Linked DNA regions of Astyanax mexicanus. The protein of the gene in region 1 purifies or fractionates together with the protein of each later gene. This does not show direct contact. Links are inferred from orthologs where the notes say so. Each region holds a gene or a part of one and is shown on either strand. Other genes may lie near its edges.

Evidence for each region. Proteins that work in one complex are often made in the same cells at the same time.
Region 2: the proteins of polr3b (region 1) and uri1 purify together in Homo sapiens (affinity purification with mass spectrometry; 4 studies listed by BioGRID and IntAct, with this or other methods). This does not show direct contact. The link is inferred for Astyanax mexicanus from reciprocal best matches to the Homo sapiens genes POLR3B and URI1.
Region 3: the proteins of polr3b (region 1) and polr2ea purify together in Homo sapiens (affinity purification with mass spectrometry; 7 studies listed by BioGRID and IntAct, counting the BioPlex papers as one, with this or other methods). This does not show direct contact. The link is inferred for Astyanax mexicanus from reciprocal best matches to the Homo sapiens genes POLR3B and POLR2E.

Annotation. Positions count from the first base shown.
Region 1 is NC_064416.1:20,873,108-20,881,078, reverse strand, and holds the start of polr3b (DNA-directed RNA polymerase III subunit RPC2), read left to right. Parts: upstream 1-4,867; 5' UTR 4,868-4,981; coding exon 4,982-5,053; intron 5,054-5,288; coding exon 5,289-5,321; intron 5,322-5,474; coding exon 5,475-5,531; intron 5,532-5,644; coding exon 5,645-5,709; intron 5,710-6,855; coding exon 6,856-6,931; intron 6,932-7,567; coding exon 7,568-7,668; intron 7,669-7,971. Other genes in the region: endouc (uridylate-specific endoribonuclease C), read left to right, coding at 1,097-1,218, 1,637-1,749, 2,323-2,473, 2,756-3,016. UniProt on the Homo sapiens protein: Catalytic core component of RNA polymerase III (Pol III), a DNA-dependent RNA polymerase which synthesizes small non-coding RNAs using the four ribonucleoside triphosphates as substrates.
Region 2 is NC_064416.1:20,396,097-20,404,053, forward strand, and holds the start of uri1 (unconventional prefoldin RPB5 interactor 1), read left to right. Parts: upstream 1-4,765; 5' UTR 4,766-5,102; coding exon 5,103-5,174; intron 5,175-7,360; coding exon 7,361-7,395; intron 7,396-7,904; coding exon 7,905-7,957. Other genes in the region: spata2l (spermatogenesis associated 2-like), read left to right, coding at 310-1,794; pdf (peptide deformylase, mitochondrial), read right to left, coding at 2,935-3,092, 3,185-3,779. UniProt on the Homo sapiens protein: Involved in gene transcription regulation. Acts as a transcriptional repressor in concert with the corepressor UXT to regulate androgen receptor (AR) transcription.
Region 3 is NC_064411.1:48,867,950-48,876,490, reverse strand, and holds the start of polr2ea (DNA-directed RNA polymerases I, II, and III subunit RPABC1), read right to left. Parts: upstream 3,193-8,541; 5' UTR 3,032-3,192; coding exon 2,975-3,031; intron 1,852-2,974; coding exon 1,677-1,851; intron 1,525-1,676; coding exon 1,409-1,524; intron 1,255-1,408; coding exon 1,174-1,254; intron 1-1,173. UniProt on the Homo sapiens protein: DNA-dependent RNA polymerase catalyzes the transcription of DNA into RNA using the four ribonucleoside triphosphates as substrates.

The DNA of each region.
Region 1 (7,971 bases):
CTGTATAGAACAGATTTATTTTTATAAATGTAAATATAAATGAGTCTTCTTTCATGTGCTAGCTTTACTGCAGCCTTTATCCAACCATTGTGTTAGAACTTACTTCCAGCAAGGTGGATGAAAATGGCATTCAATGCATTTTTGAACCAAACCTATAGCTATTTAATTCCAACCACAGAGTTAATTTTACTTGAACTTGTTTAAGTTGCACTTTGTTCCACATAGTGTTATTTAGTACTGCCCTGCGTTACTTAAAACAGCCTGTGTGTGTTTTTTTGTAGCAATAAACTTTGTAATGTTTAATGTTTTTCCAACCATGCACCCAAAAACAATGACACATCATTTCATGTGCTAAAATAAGAAGTTTAAGCCAGAATACTACTGGCTTCTGAGAAGAGGAGGAAATTAATATTAATCAACTACAGCTCTGGAAAAAAGGAGACCACTTAAAAATGATGAGTCAATTTTACCAAACTAAAAACTGGAATATAATCAAGAGGAAGATAAATGATTACAAGCCTTCAAACCAAGCTGACCTTTTTAAAGCTTGGATTTTTGCACCGTGAGTGGCATAAAGTTATCCAAAAGCAGAGTGTAAGACTGGTAGAGGAGAACATGCCAAGATGCATGAAAACTGTGATTAAAACCAGGGTTATTCCACCAACTATTGATTTCTGAACTCTTAAAACTTTATAAATATGAACTTTTCTGAAATTCCCTTTGCATTATTTGAGGTCTGAAAGCTCTGCATCTTTTTTCTTATTTCAGCCATTTCTTATTTTCTGAAAATAAATGCTCTAATTGACAATATTTTAATTTGGAATTTGGGAGAAATGTTGTCCATAGTTTATAGAATAAAACAACAATTCATTTTACTCAAACATATACCTATAAATATCAAAATCAGAAAAACTGATTCCGAAACTGAAGTGATCCCTTAATTTTTTCCAGAGCTGTATATCATATTTTAACTCTCACTCTAACCATCATGAAGTAAAATGCTCAGTTAGCTCAGAAACACTGCCTTAACATTTAATCAAGTAATGTTGAAGCACAAAACTGCAGTCAAAGCATCTCACTATCTGACTTCTTATAGGTTTCATGAAGTTGCTGGACAATTATGAAAGGTCCACTGGTGTGGCTGAAAGAGTTACTTCTGAGGAAGTAGCAGAGAATAACGCTTTCCTGGATGCTGTTTTAGAGTCTGCAGTCATGAAGGTATATATAAACATCACTGTCTATTTGTATATGCAGTCATGGTGCTCAGCTGTGTTGAATGACTTTCTGATTACAGTCTAAAGTACCAGACAATGAAGCACTGTGTACGAATGCGTAATGAAGTCATAACATGCTGAGAACATTACTTTAGCGTAAGACTATATAACAACATTGTAAACCCTGCAGCTTTTGCAGCACATTACTGTGGTTGCTGTTCTTGGTAAGCCAATGTTTAGTAGATTCCAGTGGGAATGCTGTTTCGTTCTGTCACATTGTGTTCTTGGAAGCTGCAACGGGAAAGTAGAATTCTGTCCAAAGCAATGTGAAGTTTTGTTCTGACTGCAGTGAATAACACTAACATCTGTTTAATTAGTTTAGGACATGATTGTTTTTTTTTTTTCTTCTTTCTGTTTTTCAGCGTGCTCATCAGTATTTAGTGAATAAAGGCAAATCTCAGTCTAATCTGAGGCAGTTTAAGAGTCAGCTGTACTACATGTGGTTTCGTCTTTATCACAGAGATAGAAACGGAGGGTAAGTTTCTCTCATATGTACGCGAGTATCCTTGATATTTTGTGGTTTAAAACAAGAGTCAAAAATGTGTACAGTCTTATGCAAAACTTTGACTGCCTCTGTTCAATGATATGTAATTTATAATTTCAGGTGAAAATAATGTAACATTTTTATGGAGAACACGTATAAGCACTTTTTAATACATATTCAATGTGTGTGCTGAATTAAAAATATATATATATGTTTAAAAATATATAGAACACTTTCATATCAAAGTTCACAAATAATTATGTTTTCACTATAATTTTGGATATACAATATGGAGCATTTTCTGTATATATTCTGTATGTTCAAATGTTTGTATGGTCCAAGTGCATTCAACAACTTTAAGTTGCACCCACTGCTGACAGATGATGTGCAAATGCACACACACACACACACACACACACACACAGCTTGTCTAGTTTCTAGTCTCTTGTGTAGCCCCCTCACAGCAATGCTCCAAAATCTAATAGAAAGTCTCCTCCTGACAGTAGAGACAGTTACTCCAACATGACATGTTTTTTTCTTTTACTTTTCTCTCTATCTTACTAGGGAGGACTCCAGTGGATTTGAGCATGTGTTCGTTGGTGAGACCAAGTTTGGAAAAGAAATTATGGGCCTTCACAACTGGGTCCAGTTTTATCTTCAGGAAAAGCAGAATCTTCTTGATTACAAGGGATACAAAGCCAGGAGTAACGATGTGGTATTGTCCCCCACACTAACATACATGCATAGAGTGCATTTACATACACATTCTAAATCAGATTACTGCAGTTAACTGATTAATTGTATATAAACGCCATACTTCTGTTTCTTACATTAGCGTAAGGTCTAAAAATCTGAATAAAAATGTGCAGGAGGATCTAATTTCCTTAGATCTATCATAGATTATATTCTAGTTTAACTGCATATTTAAAAAGTCACTTTTTTGCTTAGTTCCTATTCATCTCCACTGAAAAATGTCTCTGTTTCTGTCCCATTTTAGCCGGACGAGGATGACCACGTGTTAAATGTGCAGTTCAGCTGGCATGGTCTGGTCAAGCCTGTAGGCAGTACTTTCTTGGGTGTGAGTCCAGAGTTTGAGATGGCTGTTTTCAGCATACTCTTCCTCACTTCTACTGAGAAGACTACCACTGCTGTGGTTAACCTGGACGAGTACCAGCTGGAGCTGGTTGTTCACAGACACGGACGCTCCATTGGGACATCTTATCCCAAACTACTGAGCAGCAACAACCGACACTTATAGAGCAGATAGTGCAGTTCTGTTTTACTCATAGCTTTGTCTGTTCTTTTGCAGCTTACACTGTTTTAAATTAGCAACCATAATTAGAAGATGTGCAGCCTCTCAGTATTGTGAATAACATGTTTCTGTAGAAATCAGTACAGAACTGAGCTGCTGAGATGTTTATTCTTATATCTAAAATGCCCTTTTAACTTTTTACAAGAAATCTTTAGAAATGCTTTACTTTTTGTTTTAACTGTTTTTTTTTAAACCAAGAGTGATCTCATAACGAGTTACTTTTTACTAATGTACTTGTCTTAATGCAAATAAAGCTTTTTGACTTTGTTAATGAAGTTGCGTTTTTTTGTCTTTGTTTAGTTTACAGGTTCAGGACAACAGTATTTAGAATTTCACCTTTTATTTTTGACTGATGATGTAAATAACATTGATAACTTTTTCTATACCATCACTACCTGGTTCAAGTGGCACCTGTCTAGGGGTGGGATATACATATTAAGCACTAAGTGAACAGTCAGTTTCTGAAGTTGATTGTAGGAATCTCTGGCCAGATTGTAATGGCAAAATGACTGACTAAGTTTAGAGCATCTCCAAAACATTGGGCAGGTCTGCCACTACCTACCAAAAATGCTTTAAGGAAGGATATGTGGGAAACTGGTGAAAGGGCCAAGGGCACCTTGGTGCAATAATGCAATCCATGAAGGCCCCATCTTACAACTTACAGCATTTAACAGATTCTGTCCCTTGATGGGACGAGCTGTTTTGGCAGAATAAAGGGGTTTTAATGTTAAGGCAGTATAATCTATGAATAAAGTGGTTCAGTGGACTATAATCTGATTTTCAGTGATTTAAAATCATGTGTCATGGTGCTTGCTGTCAGCAGCCAGAGTCAGAGAGAGCACAATTACTCTCATTGGGTGGGCAGATGGCCGCTCTCACTACAAAGTAGTGATGGGCAGATGAAGCCTCATGGGGTGTATGGCACATTTCCCAAACTGTATCGACACTGTGTTGAAACTGTGTTGCTGTATCACTTAATGGCGACATCTGCTGGACTAAGAAAGTCATTGCAAGCAACTGCGCGAGGAAATGCATCGGTCACGTGGTTTTCCTTAAAATGATACGCGGTCCGACACAGGGGTTCGCCTTGTTTGCTCGGTGCATGCGCTGAAGTTTCAGTGTCGTCAGACCCATCACTACTACAAAGCTCCCAATGTAATGTTGGTCAGCACAACCATCTGCTAGCTGATGTATCAGAGCTAAGCACCCTGGCTTCCCAGTGGCATTCAGTCAAAAGTTTGGACACACTTTCTTATTCAGTGTTTTTATTTTTTTTTATTTTTTCCCCTACATTGTAAATGAATACTAAAGTAATCCATACTATAAAGGAACACTTAAGAAATCATGTAGTAACTTAAAAGTGTTAAACAAACCAAAACAGGTGGCTTTATCTCATCTGTTAACTTGTGGATTCTGATTCTGGTAAATCTGATGAATTTAACCTGGGCAACAGATGTAACTCTTGCTCTTTCTTCCTATCTCTACCTCTTTGCAACTTTACAACTGATGCTCTCAAACAGTAAGAAGACAAGAAATTCAAGTAATTAACTCTTGACGAGGCACAGCTATAAACTGAAAGCTATTCCAGGTGGCTCTACCTCATAAAGCTGGCTGAGAAAATCCAGCCAAGGTGTGCAAAGCTTTGAGGTGCCTCTGGTAATATTTATTACCGTTTTATGGTATATATGGTATATATACAGCACAGTATTGTTAAATCTCACTGTAAATTTCAGTATTTTCTATAATAGAGCACATGCGGAACCATTCCTCCGTGTCCTGTGTTTTGATTTAGGCCGGCAGCGTTTCAGTGTTACGCTACACACTCACATGTATGTGGAGCTGTAGCTCAGGTCCTGCTGCTGGACTAAGGTCGTGTCGTGTAGTGTAAATGTGTGAAGCGCGTTCAGAGTGATGGACCTGCTGAGGGAGGATTTTGGGGAGCTGTCAGCCCAGCAGCTCGCGGCTCCTGTCAGCACAGTGGAGGTAAAGCAGCTTCAACACAGCAGCAGCAGCAGCACCATGCTCCAGCTCTCTGTGCTAAGCTAAGCTAACAGCAGCAGATTAAGCTAGTAGCTGCACTGCTGACATGGGCGTTAGTTGGCTAACCTACTTAATTAACTACATAAGTGTTTGAACAGCTACAGCTTTATTAAACGTGTTTACAGTGGTATGATGTATAAAACATGTTAAGACAGTTGTCCTGTGTTTGTCTTTATAGGAAAAATGGAAACTTCTCCCTGCCTTTCTGAAGGTAAACACTTAACTTTTAATGTCCCCACAGTTAAAATGCACTTTAACAGCAAGTTAACAGTATTATGGGCCTTCATACAATAAAACGGTGGTCTGTTTGCTTCGTTTTACTTCTCCGGCAGCACAAATATTTATTCCTTTTTTGTTTTTATAGGTTAAAGGTTTAGTTAAGCAGCACATTGACTCCTTTAACTACTTCATCAACGTGGAGGTAAGCTGACTGAGATGGGAATATGATTCTGTTTATTTCTATTGAGTCTCTTAAGAAAGTGTGAAGAGCACTGATTTCTGTTTAAGACTTATGATGTCTTGTGATCTTTTCAGATAAAGAAAATCATGAAGGCCAATGAGAAGGTTACAAGTGATGCTGATCCAATGTGGTACCTAAAGTATGACCCCCTCCTCTGTTGTATATTTATACATTTTTATACATATTTACAGTACCCTCAAACGTGTGGACACATTCTCATTAATGTTTTTTTTTATTAGTATTGTTACTACATTGTTGATTAATATTAAAGGTCACCTTCCGTCGTTTTTTCTTTCATTTTAAAATGTCTAGTTGTGGTCTCTAGTATGAATGAATGACATGTGAGCCGTTTTTGTAAAAAAAAAGTGCTCAGGTGTCTCTGTATAGCTCTTTTTTAATGGACTGTTTTAGGGGTGTGTCCAAAATGACCGGATTCCAGCTTTGCTCATGAATATTCATACATGCAAACAGCATGCAAATATCTCTCCTCTGATTGGCTAGGAGCACTGCGACGCCCCTCCACCGCTCTGCCGCTCACTGCCTCCCACCTCCTAACTGATGAGCGGTGATGTTGCGTCGCTTCAGCTCCGCCTCTGGGAGTTTCTCGAGCCAAGGTTGGCTGGTCTGTGAGTTTCTGCCTACGTAGGCAGAAAGATAATTCAAAATTCACCCGTTTTTCGGAGGGGGGGAGGGGGGATTTCTTTGCTTAGCTCCTGCAGACAATGGGGGCTGCAAAACAGTTTAATGTGCAGGTGTACACATTCAACTCGGAGAGACCTACTGTATTCCACAAAAAACAAGAAAAATCGGATTTTCGCGGAAGGTGACCTTTAAATACTTAAGTACTATAAAGAAACAAATACATTTAAGTAGAATCACAAACATGTGACATAAAACACAAACCTGGTGCTTTGGGACGAGTTGGAGCACAGAGTAAAGGAAAAGCAGTTAACAAGAGCTTAGCACCTTTAGAAGACAGTTTGCGAACCATTCCAGGTTCTACCGCATGAGGCTGACCAAGAGAATAATGCCAAGAGTGGGCAAAGTTGGCATTAAATCAAGGAACCTAACGTGTAAAACATGTTTTGGCTCGTTTAACGCTTTTTTTGGTTTAGCTTATGATTGCACATGTGTTTATTCATAGTTTTGATGCCTTCATTATTAATCTACAATGTTGAAAAGAATTAAAAAAGCAATATGAAGCTGATTGTATTATTCTTTATGCATCCTGACTTTCTTTAATTGTTTTAGAATAATTCCTTCACTGTCTATAATACATTTACAGGTACCTTAATATCTATGTTGGCATGCCTGATGTAGAAGAGAGCTTTAATGTAACCAGACCTGTGTCTCCACATGAGGTAATCCATTAATATTTGTGAACTATTTGTCTGCAGTTCTGCTATAAATGCAAAGTTGGTGTTGAGGGTACAAACCCTATCTTCTAGGTGGCACACAAGTGTTTAATTACACAGACAAGGCATAAGGTGTTAAGGCATTTTCACATTTGCACATTATAGTCCAGTTAAATCAGGCTAATTTTTGTTTTCACCCATGGTGTGATTTGTTTTGGTTGGTGGGTGTAAATAGAGCATTTAAATAGCTGATGTCGAACCACGCAACCACACAGTGACCCAAACTGTCTTTGGAGCAAATGTATGCTTGTCGGGAACACAGGACCTTTTTTCTCTTATATATTTCTTGCTCCACCCCAGACAAGTCTGACTAATAAGCAAAGAGAGCCTTCTCACATGGTTTTTAGAGAAGCAGAGTGCACTTGGGTTTTTTTCTGTGTAAAATCAAACCTTACCAATAGAAAAATTGCGAATCTTCAAATTGAGCAAAAAAAAAACTAAACATGTGAAAATGCCCTATTGTGTCCTTGACCAAGACTTCATGATACATTTGCCTTCCTGTGTGGCATTATTCAAATACAAGATGCTCTGAATAAAACAATACTGATAATAATGTGTTCCCACTTTATCTTTCCCTTCCAGTGTCGTCTGAGAGATATGACCTATTCCGCTCCCATTACAGTGGACATAGAGTACACCAGAGGCAGCCAGAGGATCATCCGTAATGCACTTCCCATTGGAAGGTAATTATGTTGTTCTTTTTAAATCCAGCATCCACCAAACTGAAGACACAGACCTGTTTTCTGTATCTTCAAGAAGACCAAACATAATTTATTAGGCCTGACTATAGACATTTAATGTTTTACTTCCTTGTTAATTCATCATAAATAAATAGTAATCTACCTTCTTAACTCATGGGTAGAAACGCTGTTTACATCACTAACACATCACCAGGCTCTGTAAAAAGTGTTAATTATGAGAGAAAATTTGTGGCCAAACTTTGCATTGACAGCACTACTTATGATTGACAGCACTAGTCATAACTC
Region 2 (7,957 bases), about 480 kb from region 1:
TGATAATGGTGTAAAAACAATGATTTCTTTGCAATTCCCCTAAAGATAGCATTGTAAGCCTTTTGGGAGCATTGGCTATATTTCCGAATGCTGGGGGTAAACGGAGAAGGGCTTTAAGTTGGTAATCTTTTCAAGTTTCACAACAATAACTAATCCTGCCAGGAAAATAACCTATGAGCTGTCTTGGCATTAAACCTCTATTTTTACTACTAAGTCAAAGTGTTATTTTAAATATTTCGTATCTGTTATATTTAAGTCTGCACATAATTTAACTGCATTACACAAAGTAACTTATTTCCTTCTCTTCAGATGTTTTCAGGTATGTTCACCCACTATGTCAAACCTGCTCTGACATTACAGCAAGCTGAAGAACTCTTCAGATTATTAGGATACCAGCCTGCAGACACCACTGAAGAGGAGGAGCTGAGGCTAAGTTCTAAACCAGTTCACGCAGACTCTCTTCTTCAGCTGGCTTGTGCTTTCTTCACTGCTCGCATGGAGTGTCAGCTGCTCGGCACTGTGGTTCCTTTGGGTAGTGGTGTGAAATGGGAACTACAACTCATTCGGGAAAGAAAGCTTGGCCACAGCCTGCAAGTTGCACTGGAGAGTGCAAAGAGAAAGCTGCAGCTTGCTCCACAGAGCTCGGAGCATGATACCTCCGCAGAGCTCGATTTATACACAGATGACCATCAGGATCCTGGAGAATGGCCGAAGACTAATCACATGACTGCACCACCCAACAGTCATTACACTCCACCCAAAGGGACACCACTGTCACTCAGGGCTACTACTCAGTCAAAGAAAGAGATTGATGAAAACACTAGTAAGACACAGCCTGTCTGTGTCTCAAAGATGACTTGCCAGATTAGTCCTCCGCAGAAGACAGAGTTGAGTCCAAAGCCACTGAAAACTGAGAATGACAATGAAAAGCAAGTTCCCACACTAACAGGTGGTGCACAGGTCAAGGTTTCAAAAGTGGATCCACAGATATGCAGGTGCTTTGAGTCGTATGACAATTATGCCTATTATTGTGTCCAATGTAAGCAAATTCATAACTTGGAATGTCAGTGGTTGAACAGATGCAGTGAACAAGGGCATGATTTAAGGAAGGTACAGCAACACGGAATGGATGTGCAACCACAACCCACACAAAACTGGGAAAAAGCCCCCAAAGGTAACCTGAAGATGCATAGCTGTATGCAGAGTTCCACCTCTGATGTCTTCCTTGTGTGCCACAACTGCCAAAATATCCATGATTTTCAGTGTGATGGTCTGAGGTACTGTCAACTTATGGAACATACCCTTCAAAAAACAGGAAAAGTACAGCCACCTCAGGAAGAGAGGGATGGGGCTGCCCCACCACGGAGGCACACATGCCTCAGGGCAGAAGATCAACCTCACATAGTGTGCCATACCTGTGAGAAAGTGCATGACTGCCTGTGCAAGGAAGTAGAGAGGTGCAGAGAATCTGGTCATTCGATGGGATATTTGGAGGTAGTGAGCAAAGAAGAAGTGCGCACACCTTCTAGGCCCATAACTTTCCACGAGTGCTGTACCTCAGAACCGCCCATCTTTGTTTGCGTTACTTGCAGAGTCTTCCACTCCATTTCCTGTGATATGCAGTGCTCGGGAAAACATGAAATGGAGAGGCTAAAAGCATTTTGCGCTGTATGTTCATATCATAAAATTCACACACTGTGCAAGTACTGCTGTGCCCAGTATTGCAAAAAATGTTGGTTTAAGAATCCCTTGGAATGCAAGTGTGGTATGCCATTTGAACACTCCGCTGTTTAAATATGTTGTTACAGTTATAGTTTACTTTCTTTGCTGTCACGTCAAAACATTGGATCTCTATTTTTTGCCATGTTTCATTTTTTAATCTGGCAGTTGTTTTCATTTTGTGCCAAAATTACACGATTAAGGGACCAATATAATGCTTTTTATATTAACTTCAATTGAAGGTTAAGGATTTTTTGTCTCCTGTAATGTTGCTGTTTTGTAAGTACAAGGGTTTTGCATGACACCAATGATCTGATTAAATGCACTTTGTCATATTTAAAACACCTATTATTTGTACTCTATTGCTACTGCCAAATAATTATTAAAAAAAACATCACTACAAATAGAAAACTGAATAACAAGAGCACAAAATTACCATTGATGTCTATTGTGTTATACGAGTTGTGAATGTTGTGACATCAGACTACTGACACACAGTCAACAGATTTTCTTTTCTTTAATAAGCCCATATATATAAGTGCCTATATAAATGTTGTCCAGATTGCTTTTTTTTTTTCTTTTTATAATATTTTGTTTTCACCCTTTTTTGCAAAATGAGGTGTCTGCTCTTTGGTTAATGCACAACTGTTGCTGCTACTAAAAATATTAAAATAAATAAAATAGGTGATATGGAATATTATGTTTGTCGTGTGTGATAACCCATTAGAATTTACAGTTCAGAAGTATTTGCTTTTTTTCTTCACCAAGTTCTAGGCAGGTAGATTGCAAATACTAACACATCTTACTTTCATCATTTACTGCTGAGTGTTTTAAGACCAGTTTAAAACTAGTTGAACCACTATCACATGTTTTTTTAACACTTGCAGGAAACTAGTTCATTTACCGGACAGCCTTACATTGCTATAAAGGTTTAACAAAAAAATACAGTATACAAAACATATAACTGGATGTCCTCAAAATAGCCAATATCGTATTTATACCATTAACCATTGGCTTTTTACACATGTAACCATTAATAGTTCTTAAAAGTTCTGTTAAATGTTGTATAAATTAGCCAAAATATTACACAAAGCAACTGTATTATGTAATTTATATTTTATGTGATTAAATGAATATAGACCATTTTTATCAGAAATAAGTCACTTAAAGCAGCTTCCAGACAAGTGTACTCCCAACTTTTAATCAGCAGATCTGCTATTCATTGTATTGTTCCCAGTTCACATTAATGAAAGTTTTACTGTCCATGCGGTCAACGTAAAGAACTCCACCGAGGTGATCCATCTCATGCTGCAGTATCCTTGCAGGCCATCCAGTTGCTTGCCAGGTTACCGACTCTGCTTTTTCATTTAGTCCTTTGGAAAGAAATGTTTATAGATGGTTATCACGATAGATACACTCTTCACAAGCTATACATTATAAGACTATAAGATTATAAGGTTGTTACCTGTGACCTGCACAGAAATATATCGTGGAACAGAGGCAGAGAACCCTGATATGCTTTCACAGCCTTCCTGGAAGGTGACCATCTCTCCATCTAAGATGCGCAGCTGTGGATTAATAAATATCTTTAAGGGAACTGGGACCAGGCCACGGGCCTTGATGGAAGCAGGTAGGCTGTCCTCCAGCATCTTCTCTGGATACTCCAGAGCTATGATCTGGAGAGGTACACCAATCTGGGGTGCACTAAGTCCCACACACTCCAGCCTGCGCATGACCTTCACCAAGGTTTTAATCACTTGCTGCACCTCTGCTCCTCCAATAGCGCTGGGCTCCACTGCTGCAGCCTTGGAGCGCAGCACAGGGTCGCCCACCTGACACACGTGGCTGTATGGAGGTTTTGGTGGGGCTATGACTTTTCTTTTGAGGTACTGAAGGTATGAGCGCGCTTTTTCGTTCGTGGTGTGTCTGCGTACAAGTGCAGGGCATGTTAGTGGACATGGGGAGGAAGTCCTGGGGAAGATCATAACATCATTGGTTGCTGCCTGAAATCTCAAGACACAGGGCAGCAATGTCCTCAAATGTCTGTTTATGACCAGCATCTCAGTGGTCAGGAGTGCAGCTCTGTTTCACCTGTGAATAAAAAAATGCAAGCAAGCTTTTATCATTAACAAATAACTACAGAACAATGCTGGTGTGCAACATCTACCTCTATAACCCTGCATCGCACCAGAGCACAAAACCGTGGCTGTGCTGTTTCATACACAGTGTCTGACCACTGAAATTTCAGCAGTACTTAAACCGATCAAAACCTACTACTTACCTTCACGATTCCCTACTCGCCCCTCACAAGGTCTAGCATGTTCATGGGATCCGGAACATGATTTTTCAAAATAAAAGTTCACATACTTGTGAACATCTCTGTAATAAACAGCACACACATTATATTTTGCATAGCACTTGCATAAGTATATCATTATTTTTATGTAGATTTGATTTTATGGGGGTATTTTTGGCTTTTTAAATTATGTTCTTAAGTACATTATTATGAAAGGTTATTGTGGTGACTTAGAGTTTCTGTCTTCACATGCTTTGTTCCAAAACAGAAGGCGTAAAAAATAAATTAGATTTATACATTTATTCAAGAGACAGTTTTTAAGGACATATACGGACTTTAAACGCTTGTTTGCTTATTTAAGTTCAAACTTTAATTCACAATCCTTGCCCAAATCATAGTTTTTTATGTTCTATTTACTTAGAAATATATATAAAAATATTTTATTAAACTATAGACATATGGATTATTTAACGTTATTATTATTTAACATAAACATTTCTTAATTTATACACAGATGTATTTTGTGTATACATATGTATTCATGTAATAGCTCACTCCAGTCATAGTGGGAATGTTACAGTTGTGTGAAGAGTGTATTGTTTTTTAAATAAAAGAAAAAAGAAAAGAAATCCTTGATTTTCAAATAAAACATCGTGTTAAACTGGGCATGTGTTTGACTTGTAGATCGCTGTTCTCTTTAGACATGCGCAGACCGAGCCTTGCCTCTACAAATCGGGTGCGCGGCGGGTCACGTGTCTTCGCTGTGTTTTTGTTGGGGGACGAACATGGCGCAGACGGACGGACATTGCTGAGGGGATTGCACGCACATAAGCAGAGGAATAATTTTGGAAGAGGAAGATTTTGTGCGATGCGAGTGTGAAATGGTCTCAATCTCGATTTGGACCGTTTCTATCGCCTCATTGATGACTAAAAGGACACCAGGGCTGAGGAATACGTTCACTGGCATTCATAAACATTTCTATAGGACTTCAAACCCCTGAGTGTGGTGGAGGAGGTGGTGGTGGTGGTGGTGGATATACCCAATCAATCTGTGCTTGTGTGAGATACAGGAGGCCCACGGGACGCAATGGCTGGAAATATGAACGCAAATTATGATCTTCCGCAGGGTGTAGAGAGGCTGAAAGAGGAGCACAGAAAGGTAAAGAAAGGGGGTTTGGCTTGTCTGTGGACGCTTTCGGTTTGTGTTTGTTTGCAGCTCGGCAAACATCCTGTTTACACTGTTCACATTACTGTGTGTTAATTCCACACATCTAACTTTGCTTTCATTAGCTTCAGCCGCAGCTGTTTGTCTGTTTTTAGCTAATAGTGAAGTTTAATGAAGTAAAACACCGTAGTTGACTCGCTGCCGTGTGTTGTAACCTTAGTGCTTTCTAGAAAGGGTCAGTCACGTGTTGCATGGCAGCTGGGGTTCAGTTAAATTAATATAAGGGCTGTGCAAAATCCAGAGTTTTATAATCTAAATTAGTTCAGAAAATGAAAATAAACTGAGTCCACCTTACAGGATGTTAAATTGAATTTGAGTTTGAGTTGCAAGAAGTGGAACAATTCATTCTCATTACATATGAATGAGAGTGTGATACTTTTAACATAAAGCAAAATTTTCTTTCAGATGGATTTTCAGACACTAACATTTAAGCATCCATTCCATTAATGTTACATAATTAATATAAAATATATTAATTTCAAACTAATCAAATGAAACTGTGTACTTTACAGGATGGCTAATGTTGTTTCATCTAATAGTCAACAGTTCCTCAGATTTCCTAAATATCCTAATTTGTAAGTTATTAGCTACAGTTGCAATGATTGGTTTTATAGACTATGTATTTAATGTTAATTTGTAATCCATTCAATAATATCTGTATTAAATTAATGTTGTAATCATATGTAACATATACTGTAAAGATTCAATGTTAAATACACCTTAATTGTGTATAATTAAAATCTGTGCGATCCAGTTCTATTTCATCTAATTCAAATCTGAATTGCAATTCTGCTTTCTGTTTGCAACCTCAATTCAAGAATTGAATGGAATTTAGAGCTAATTCTCAATAAAATCCTGATTTTTTTACAACCCTGCTACATGGCAGACCTATCTAGGTAAGCTATTAAATTTGCTGCCTAAATTTGCTAAGGTTAGTTATCATTAACTGTTCTACCCCTACTAAATAATATGTCATTACTCTCAATAATTTAACAGTAATGTGTCTAAAATAATTTTGCATTTAGCAAGGGTTAAAACTATTCTTAGTAAAGTCAATTTAGCAGGCACATAAAATGGCCATCTAGCTAACTACCTAGTAGTGATGCTTTCTACTTACAAAACTTTACAAAACTATTTTTGCCATGAAAAAAAAAATATTTAGATTCAAGAGCCAGTTAATAAAAGGCATATAAGGATGTTAAACACATTTGCTTATTTGAGATGTATGGACATTCATTTGAATGTATGAATTCTGAAGTGAAAAGAACACACTGAAATATTGTCTCTCCTCAAAGAAGAAACATTTTAAAAAGTATGTTTTTGAATAGATTTTAGCTAAATCTGTAATTAATACTTGATCCTCATAATAAAATGACCCAGTATGTTTCAGTGGTAAGTATTCTTTACAGGTGTATTTAGCGCAGAGCCCCTAAATGATCAAGGTTTGTAATACACACACAGTTTTGTTTTAGGCTCATAAAGAGTACTCAAGTTCATTTTATCTTAAAAATCATAAATGCAATCAAAAGTAGCAAGAATATCCTAGATTATATCCTGTGAGCTAGTCTGAAGAACAATGTTTAGTTCCAGATTTCTAGTGGATGCCCTCAGTCAGCATGTGCATGTGTTAATTTCCATCAGCAGTCCACTTAAAATAACATCATTAAGCTCTGATTTGCCAAACCAGGTGTTGATTTGATTATGACTATAAATAAGGCTAGACTTACACAAGGAAATTTACTGAAAATGTCTGAATGAACACTATAAACCTGTTGTTTGTATTTATTGTAATACTAGCCTTTTACTGAGCTAATAAATACTTACTGCCCAGATTAGAAGCCTTTTCATACTGTAATTCCCACTAATTAAAACTTTTGCACAATACTCTATATACTGTGTTTTGCCAGAAAGAAGCAGGCATAAACAGACCTTTCTCTTGATTTAGCACAATGTTGTTTTTGTTTAGAGTGGATGCTTTAGTTGCATTTAGAAAACAATTTACTAATTTGAGGGAACCATATATTTAGTTTAGGAAAGGATTTATTGTTGGAAATTGTTTGTTTTATATGTTTCATTGTGTCCATTATTCTGCAATGTTCTAAAATGACTCCTATGAACAGGTGGTGAAAGACTGCAAAGGACAGATAACACATTGGTGAGTGGTCCTACTGAAGATTCATAAAATGTTAGTCTATTTTCTTGTTTTGCAACTTGTTAAGGTAATTACTGCTATTTAAAAATATATATATAAAGTTTACTGTATACAAATAAGATCCATTGTACAGATGTTTAGTGTTTTGGCATTATAATTTTAGTATGTGAGTTGAATGGTTCCAAATGGAAATTGTGCTCTCTCTGGGAGGATGGGATGGCCCACCCTCAACATTCGGCTTGAAGCTAGTCAGTAAGGATGTCTGTTAACTTGCAGATAGGTCTTCTTTTTGTGTTCTTCTGCAACCGCATTTAACTGTCTAAAGCACGTTCTAACTTTCACCCAGTGCTGTTTGCATTATGAGTAATGTGAGATACTTATCTAACAAGTTGGAATTGCCAATGGTGAAATTTTTGAGAAAATGGTGTGTGGGGGACAGTCGGAATGTCTATATTTCTTCTCTTCCAGACTTTATTGCAAACCTCATGACTATTTATTCCCTTGTCTACCAGGAAAAAAGTGGAGAAAGACTATGAAAGCTTGCAAGAGCGCCTTGTCACTTTAC
Region 3 (8,541 bases), on another chromosome or scaffold:
ACAATAACAAATGTTGTTCTTTCCTAGACAGGCACGATACTTACATCAACTTATCCTACAATATATGGGCCTATTTTTACAATATGCTGCAGTGCCTAACATATTTATATTCTCACTCATATTATATAGATGTACTACACACAGAGTGAGCTATTTTAAGCGGTAATTTCTGTTATTGTTGATGATTATTATGGCTTACAGGCGTTGAAAACCCAAAAATCAGTATCTCAGAAAATTAGAATATTATATAAGATCAGTTGGTACTTTCTGCAGTGTGGGCAGTGTGCCAAGTCCTGCTGGAAAATGAAATTCGCATCTCCATAAAAGTTGTCAGTAGCAGAGGGAAGCATGAAGTGCTGTAAGATTTTTCGGGGAAAAACTGCACTGACTTTAGACTTGATAATAAAACACAGTGGATCAACACCAGCAGATGACATGTCTCTCCAAACCATCACTGATCATCAGTAAGTTTTACATTTCATTTGTAAATTAATGGAGCAGAGTCTGGAGGAAGAGTGGAGAGACACACAGTCCAAACTGCTTGAGGTCTAGTGTAAAGTTTCTACAATCAGTGATGGTTTGGAGAGACATGTCATCTGCTGGTGTTGATCCACTGTGTGGAGATGCAGATTTCATTTTCCAGCAGTACTTGGCACACTGCCCACACTGCCCAAAGAATCGATTTTCGGAGATACTGATTTTTTGGGGGGTTTTATTGGCTGTGAGCCATTATCGTCAACAATAAAAGAAAGATGCTTAAAATAGGTCACTCTGTGTGAAATGCATCTATGCAATACATGAGTTTACATTTTTAACTTTTTAATAATATAAAAATTTTAAATATAAACATTTTAAGATGCACCTGTATATGCTATATACTGTGGCCAAATTTGACAAATGACAAATATACCAATAGAAAAGCTCCAAAATGTTGTTCAACAAAGTCTTTTTACTTTTTATTTTGACTTCCACTGAAATGTTAAGATATTCTTTTTCCCATTTTTTGTATTATATATTTGCATATTTTTGGCGGTTTAAAATATGTACAATTCCTTGATTTTCAAACTTTTATATTTAATGCTTTTCACAAAGTCTCTGATAAAACCTGGTTATTTGATAGATTAATACTGTATGTTTTGAATACTTACAGTAATAATATTATGATTTTCTCACCTCGTGCTCTGTGATGTTGATGAGAAGCTCCTGCTGAAGAAACTGCTCCAGAATATACTTTGGTGCCATGTCCACCAAAGACTGCAAATATAAATACACAAACAACAGCATTCAGAGCAATATAATACTCTTCAGTTGACTTAAAAGACCGTAATAATTCTACAGATAAAATATACATTCTGAGAACTGTAATTGTTAAAAAGTTTAAATTGGGTGGAAGTGCGTATATTTCTACCTGTTTGGCAGATGGAGTCATGCCCATCTGGACTACAATAATGGCGCGGGTGATGTTCTCCTCCTGCATTCGCTGGCAGTACATCTTAATAGTCTTAATGCCCACTTTGGGCTCCTCTGTATAATAAAAAAATATATAACAAAAACACGATGAAGTATAAAGTGATTTAACTCACATATTCACCCTAATAATCCAATAAACACTACACAGCATGTTCTCCTGCACGGTGGTGCCAACAAGAATTCCAATATGTGATAAAGCAGCTCACCAGGAAAGAAGACGAACATCTGGTCGGTCGGATCGTCATTGTGAGCCACCAGCACTGTGAGATCTGTCCTCCTGGGTCGGCCCTCGCTCGGTTTGTCTCCAAACTGGCTTTTAAACTCATCCAGGGTCTGATCCAACTCATCCTGCGTCACCAAGTATCCTCGATCATGGCAAAGCTAAGAGAAACCAAGAATTAAAATATCAGGGTTAGAACATCAACAACATACACCTTCATTACTAGCACATTTTAAGGCAAAGCTTCATCATATACTACAGCATGCAAGAAAAAAGGGGTAAAAATTTAATTTTGTCATAATTATGACTTTTTTTATGACATTATTAAATATAGGCCTTAACTGTCTAAAAATAAACCTCATGCGCTCTTTTACTGTATTTTGTCTGTTGTTGTCTGAATATTGTACAATTTTATAATATTTTTCAGATTCACCAAGAAAAGTACAGAGTTCCTGAAGTATCAAAGTAAAAAAATTACTATTTAGAAACTTAAAAATGTATTCCTTCGAGGGAATTATATGCATGCTAAGAAATAAAGCTCAAGACCAGTTTTGCTGGAATCTGGTTTAAAACTATTTAATTTAGGCTGGTCTTTAATGGACAGTGTGTTTGAAAAACTTGTGAATCCAGGTAAAAACTTACCTAATGTTTGATTTTGGTCAAGCTTGATCATACTGGTTATCAAGATAACTAGCATGGTCAAGCTTGTAGACCAGCTAAACCACCAACCTCAAATAAATATATACCCTAAACTGATCAAAATCTCTATTCAAAATCTAAGCTGGCCTTATTTTTCCTACCTTAATGCATATTACAATTCTGTAGATATATACACTACTACTCAAAAGTTTGGACACACCTTCTAATTTATTTTTTTTCCCACATTGTAAATGAACACTAAAGTCATCCAGACTATTAAGAAACACATACGTAATTAAGTTGTAACTTAAAGTGTTAAACAAACCAAAATACTCTGTGAAGCATTTAGATGCTCTTATCTGGGGTTCTGTTAACTTGTCGATGCTGGTAACTCTGATGAACTTAACCTATGCAACAAAAGGAAAGTCTTGCTCTTACTTTAAAATATAAAACACTTAACAAAATAACACAATTTGTTTTTATTCATAGTTTGGATGACTATCTATCTATCTATCTATCTACCTATCTATATGTTAGATTATATAAAAAGAGGTGAAATAAGGTTAAATAAAGCTCTAATTTCAGCTCCGTCACACAGTAAAAACACGCTGATAATCAGCGCTGAGTTTAATCCCCGAGCCGAACCTGCATTATAGTCTTCCTGATCTTCCACAGGCGGTAGGTCTCCTCTTCATCATCCATCACCGCGATCTGAGACTAACAACCTCTTTATTAACCTTATTTACTCAATAATACACTGATATTTCTCCCGATCCACACACTACACACTACACACACACACACTCAGCTTCCGAACAATCACACCACGTGACCACCAGCCACAGAAGGACCCAAACACGGGCGTCCAGTTACTTTCCAGAGATATTTTGTCAGCTCGTGGATATAGTATTATTATTATTACCGTTAAAACACGAACTGCTGTGTTTAATAATATTAACTTTTCATTTTCGTATTTGTTGTATAATGATAACATTAGAACTGGAAAAGTAGAACTGAAAAATAGAAAGAACAAAACAGAACAAAATTTAAAATAACCCTTATAAAAAAAAGCAATGTTAAATAAAACAATTATATATTTTTTTTCTTTTCTTTTCTTTTTTTTGAGTAAAGCAGGTTAAATATAAAAATATAATTATTTATAAAATGAATAAATAAAAAATAAAACTACTCCGAGCCTACCCACTCCCTTTGCCCCGTTATCACTGCCTACCGCTAGAGGGCGGCCGCGAAGGAGTTTAAAATGAATGGGGTGAATGAAGCTAAATAGCTAAAACTCAATAAAAAAATTTTAACTAACTACTTGTCCAAGATAATCCTTTAATTTCGGAAAGTATATTAATGTATTTAGTTAAAATTGCAAATAAATAATAACTATATGTTTTAGTTTTTCTTCAGTAAACGGGTTTTAGGCAGTAAAGGCGCTAGCATTGCTGCTATTGTGGAAGCTCAACTGGAGTTACAGTTAGAACACGGAGTTTAGAAGTTTTACAAACGTTATAACATATATATTTAATAATAATATTAAAATTTAATAAAAATGTTTAATAAAATATTAAACATTTGATATTGTTCTGTGTTGAGAAATCTATTTTTTTTTGTATAAAAATGTATAAATTTGTTCAATTTCTTCTAATTATAACCTCTATTATAAACTCTATTCTCTGATTATAATATTAGAACCCAGCAGGCACTGTTACATGTTGTGACAGCCTGTTTCCTTACGACGTTGTCACAATGTCTTTAAATATATAAATGTGTCCAAATCTAATCTTGTGAGTGAGAGGTAATGTTATGTAACGTTGACTTTGTGGCAACATTGTAGATACAACATAAACAGTGCGACCTTTAGACATTATAACTACAATGTAAGAAAGTACACAACAGTTTAATGTGTTTTCTGGAAATCTGCATGAAGAATTGAGTACTGTATAGGCCTAGTGTATAATTAAGTACTTGAGTTTTCGGTGTGGCAGTGTCAACATATTTTTCTGACATGAAAATGTGCAGGGAAACGATGACTTGCTTTCTGCCAGTCTCTGGGGAGCTCCTGTTTGTTTTGTGCTGGGCACCCTGGTGGCAGAATAGTAGCAGAGGAGGTGAGGTTATGAAAGTTATGTCTGAAGAATGTAAGAAATGCGGTGGTAGGCCATAAACTAGTGCATCTCAAACAATTAGAATAGCATTAAAAAGCTACTTTATTTCAGTAATTTAGGTCAAAATGTGAAACTCATATAGATGTATTACATACAGAGTGATCTATTTTAAGCGTCTATTTCTTTTATTGTTGATGATTATGCCTTACAACCACTGCAAACCCAATAATCAGTATCCGAGAAAATTAGAAAATTATATTAGACCTGTTGGTTTTTTTGGCAGTGTGCCAAGTGCTGCTGGAAAATGAAATCTGCATCTCCACAAAAGTTGTCAGCAGAGGGAAACATAAAGTACTGTAAAATCGCCTGGTATAACCTGCACTGACTTTGGACTTGATATAACACAGTGGATCAACACCAGCAGATGACATGTCTCTCCAAACCATCACTGATTGTGGAAACTTCACACTAGACCTCAAGCAGCTTGGACTGTGTGTGTCTCCACTTTTCCTCCAGACTCTGGTCCATTGATTTCCAAATGAAATGCAAATTGTACTGATGGTCAGTGATGGTTTGGAGAGACATGTCGTCTGCTGGTGTTGATCCACTGTGTTTTATTATCAAGTCCAAAGTCATGCTTTCCTTTGCTAACAACTTTTGTGGAGATGCGGATTTCATTTTCCAACAGCATTTGGCACACTGCCCACACTGCCGAAAGTACCAACTGGTCTTGTATAATAATATATAGACCGTTTCAGAGGAATATTCATGAGCGCAGGAAGTGACGTAGCTGTTCCTAGGACACTTCCGTTTTGCGGTAAACACTGTTCAAAACAGTGGATGTAATTTAATTTAAACCTTGCCATACACTCTGTTCCACAGCCACAAGAACTGCTGCAACATGACTGCAAACTAAATAAATAAATAAATGTTAAAATAAATAAATAAATATATAAATAAATGCACATATAAATGAATAAATAAATAAATAAATAAATTAAAACATGCATAAATAATTGTATAGGTTAATAAATACATTTCTTATTTATATATTTATTTATTTATTTATTCATTTATACGTGCATTTATTTATTTCAACATTTATTTATTTATACATTTATTTATTTCAACATTCATGTATTTATTCATTTACTTATTTTAACATTTCCACATTTATTTATTGGTTTATTTCCACATTTCCACATATTTATTCATTTACCTATACCATACCTGTCAAGTCTCCCGTTTTGGCCGGGAAACTACCGTATTTTACTCCTCTTTCCCGCCGTCCTCCCGTATTAGTATTTTCCCGTAAATTTCCCGTATTATACTAAATAAAAAAATATATAGGCCACAGGCGACAATGCACTGACCGCTGTGTCTCTTAACCAATCGTGGTGCCGGTTCAAGGAGAAAGTCCCGCCTTTCAGGAGAAACAGCCAATCAGCTAGCTGGTTTTGCGGAGCGCAGTTTAGTATGCGGGAAGCCCCGCCCCTCCCCTCGCTGTGAGTTCAGGCAGCTAGTCGGAGCAGCTGTCGTTAAAACTAATCTGGATATACGGAGATTTTTCTAAAAGAAAGGTAATTAACCATGTAAACTATGATGAGATTGTTTCTGATAGCTGGTTAAAAAAGACTCTTCTCTGAATCAAAACATAAATTAAACCCACTGTGTGTTTAATAAAATACAGCTTGTGACTCAGTTAGCTTAACTTTAGAATTAGCTAGATAGATATTCAGGGTTTGAGAAAAATCTATATATATATATATATATATATATATATATATATATATATATATATAATGCCCTGCCCTGATGTGCCTGATCAGCCAATAACTATCATTTCCAAACTCTATTAGTTCAGGGCTAGTTTTAGGGTTTGTTAGAATTTGTTTAAATCTCAAGTATTGTGGTAATGTATTATAATGTAATGTAATGTATTATTTAGAAGGGGTAGAAGAGATGGTTGAGCTGGAGAGAGAGAAAATGTGGAGAGGGCTGAAATTAACTGAACTGATCAGGAGTGGACTGAACGATAGAAAGAAGTATTAATGAAAGATTATTAATTGTGTAGGCCCCTTAGGACTATTATTTACTTATGGAATATATCTGATCCATGTCCTTTTTGTAAATTTGTGCACCCTTCAATTTCAATTTAAAATCTATTAAATAAAATATATATATATATATATAAAAAAATAAATCGTCGAAGGAACAGACATGCGCAGTAGCTTTGTTATTGTTTTCCTCATTGAAACGGTCTATATATATTTTTTTTAAGAAACTGGTTTTTGAGTTATCATTGGCTGTTTTCTTCAAATACATAAAATTACTTAAAATAATTTATGCTTATGTGATTTTGTACTTTGCCCCCTTTAAAGAGATACCCCTCGCTGCAGAACCACAAGTCCAGGGGGTGGGGCTGGATCTGATCCAAGGGGTGGAGCCTGACCTCCTGACCACCCATATCTTCTTTTCATTGGTTTTAAGTCATCGCATTTCAATTCGTCGTTAAACTTAACACGTGTCGCTTACGTTTCCCGACCAGGACTTATTTTATCTTATCAAATAAATCCTGGAACCCAACCTTAAGACTTTTACCGTTTATAGATCAAAATGTTATTTGCTACGTAGCACATTTAAATCACACAATACAGATTTAAAAGAAGGAACATGTCTGTGATTACAAACATAATAAAATGCTGTACATTTCCTATATAAATATTAACTATTTCATTTTTTATCTTTAATAAAAAGGGCCTAAAGACAAAATAAAAAATAAATAATTAAAATAAAGGATGCCAATGAGTGTCTTATCTACCAGCTACCATGTTCATTTATTATTACAGATATTAATACACAATCAAAACGGCGAACAGAAGCAATCAGATTTTCAATTAAGTAAAATCACCCAACGAAACTAATTAATAGTATTAGCAAAATGAAAATGTGTCTATTATGAACTTACTTTCACGTTCGTGATTGTTTACTTGACTCCGAAAGGCGAGTGAGTAAAACCGGATGGGGAAGAGTCCGATCTGCTTCAGACCAATGAAAACACGACGTAGGAAGAGTTGGATCAGATCCAGCCCCACCCCCTGGACTTGTGGTTCTGCAGCGAGGGGTACTTGCCTTTAAAAGGAGGAGGTTATGGGTGGGCGGGGTTTCTGGGTTGTGTTATCAGAAATGATTGGCTTTTTAAGGAGTGAGGGGGCGTGGCTCCGCAGGTTGCTTGATCCGATCAAAATGCAGTTAGTCCGTCAGGCGCTGCTTCTGGGGCTGCTGGGTGGAAAAGGCTTCAGCAGAGCCATGGTAAGATCCGCGCTGCTGCTCTTCTGCTCCTGTAGCTGTTTATTACTGTATTACTGTGTATTTAACAACGGACGGGGACTGTGGTGATGACCTTGTGTGTGTGGTGTTTATTTTTAGAGCGCTTCCGCAGCTGCGCAGGTGTTTCTGTCAGGATAGCTTAGCTTAACTGGCTACGGTGGGAACGAGCATTGGCGTTAGCTTAGCAATTAGCTTAGCATTAGCTTTAGCTGGGTTTGGCCAGCAGAACTCACCTGGGACAGGACTGGCTGTGTTTTTGTAGCTAGCTAATGCTAATTGTATCTTTTTTTAGTGGTTATTATTCATATTTATAGGCTATATTGTATGTTTAATCTTGCGTTAGTTAGCTTAGCATTAAATATTGCTAGTTGTTTAGCTAAGCTGAATGTGTTAATATGTAACGGTAACGTTAGTAGCTTAGCTAACTAACCTAGTTAGCCTACTAACTGTCAGATTTTTATCTACTTTACTTTCCAAACATGTGGCCAATCCTTTTATCTAGCCTCATACAGTATATATAATTTAAAAATGCAGATTATTTTAGCTAGCTTGCTAGTTAAGATTACCATACTGGGCGTTTTCTGATGTAACGTTAATGACTAGTCAGGGAATAAAGGATCGCTGAGACATCAGGTTTCAAGATCAATGTGTGTTCATTAGAGATGTAACGGTACACAAAAATCACGGTTCGGTTTTCACCAGGAGTAAAGGCATAAAGTTATCCAAAAGCAGTGTGATTAAAAACCGGGGTTATTTCTCGAAACATTG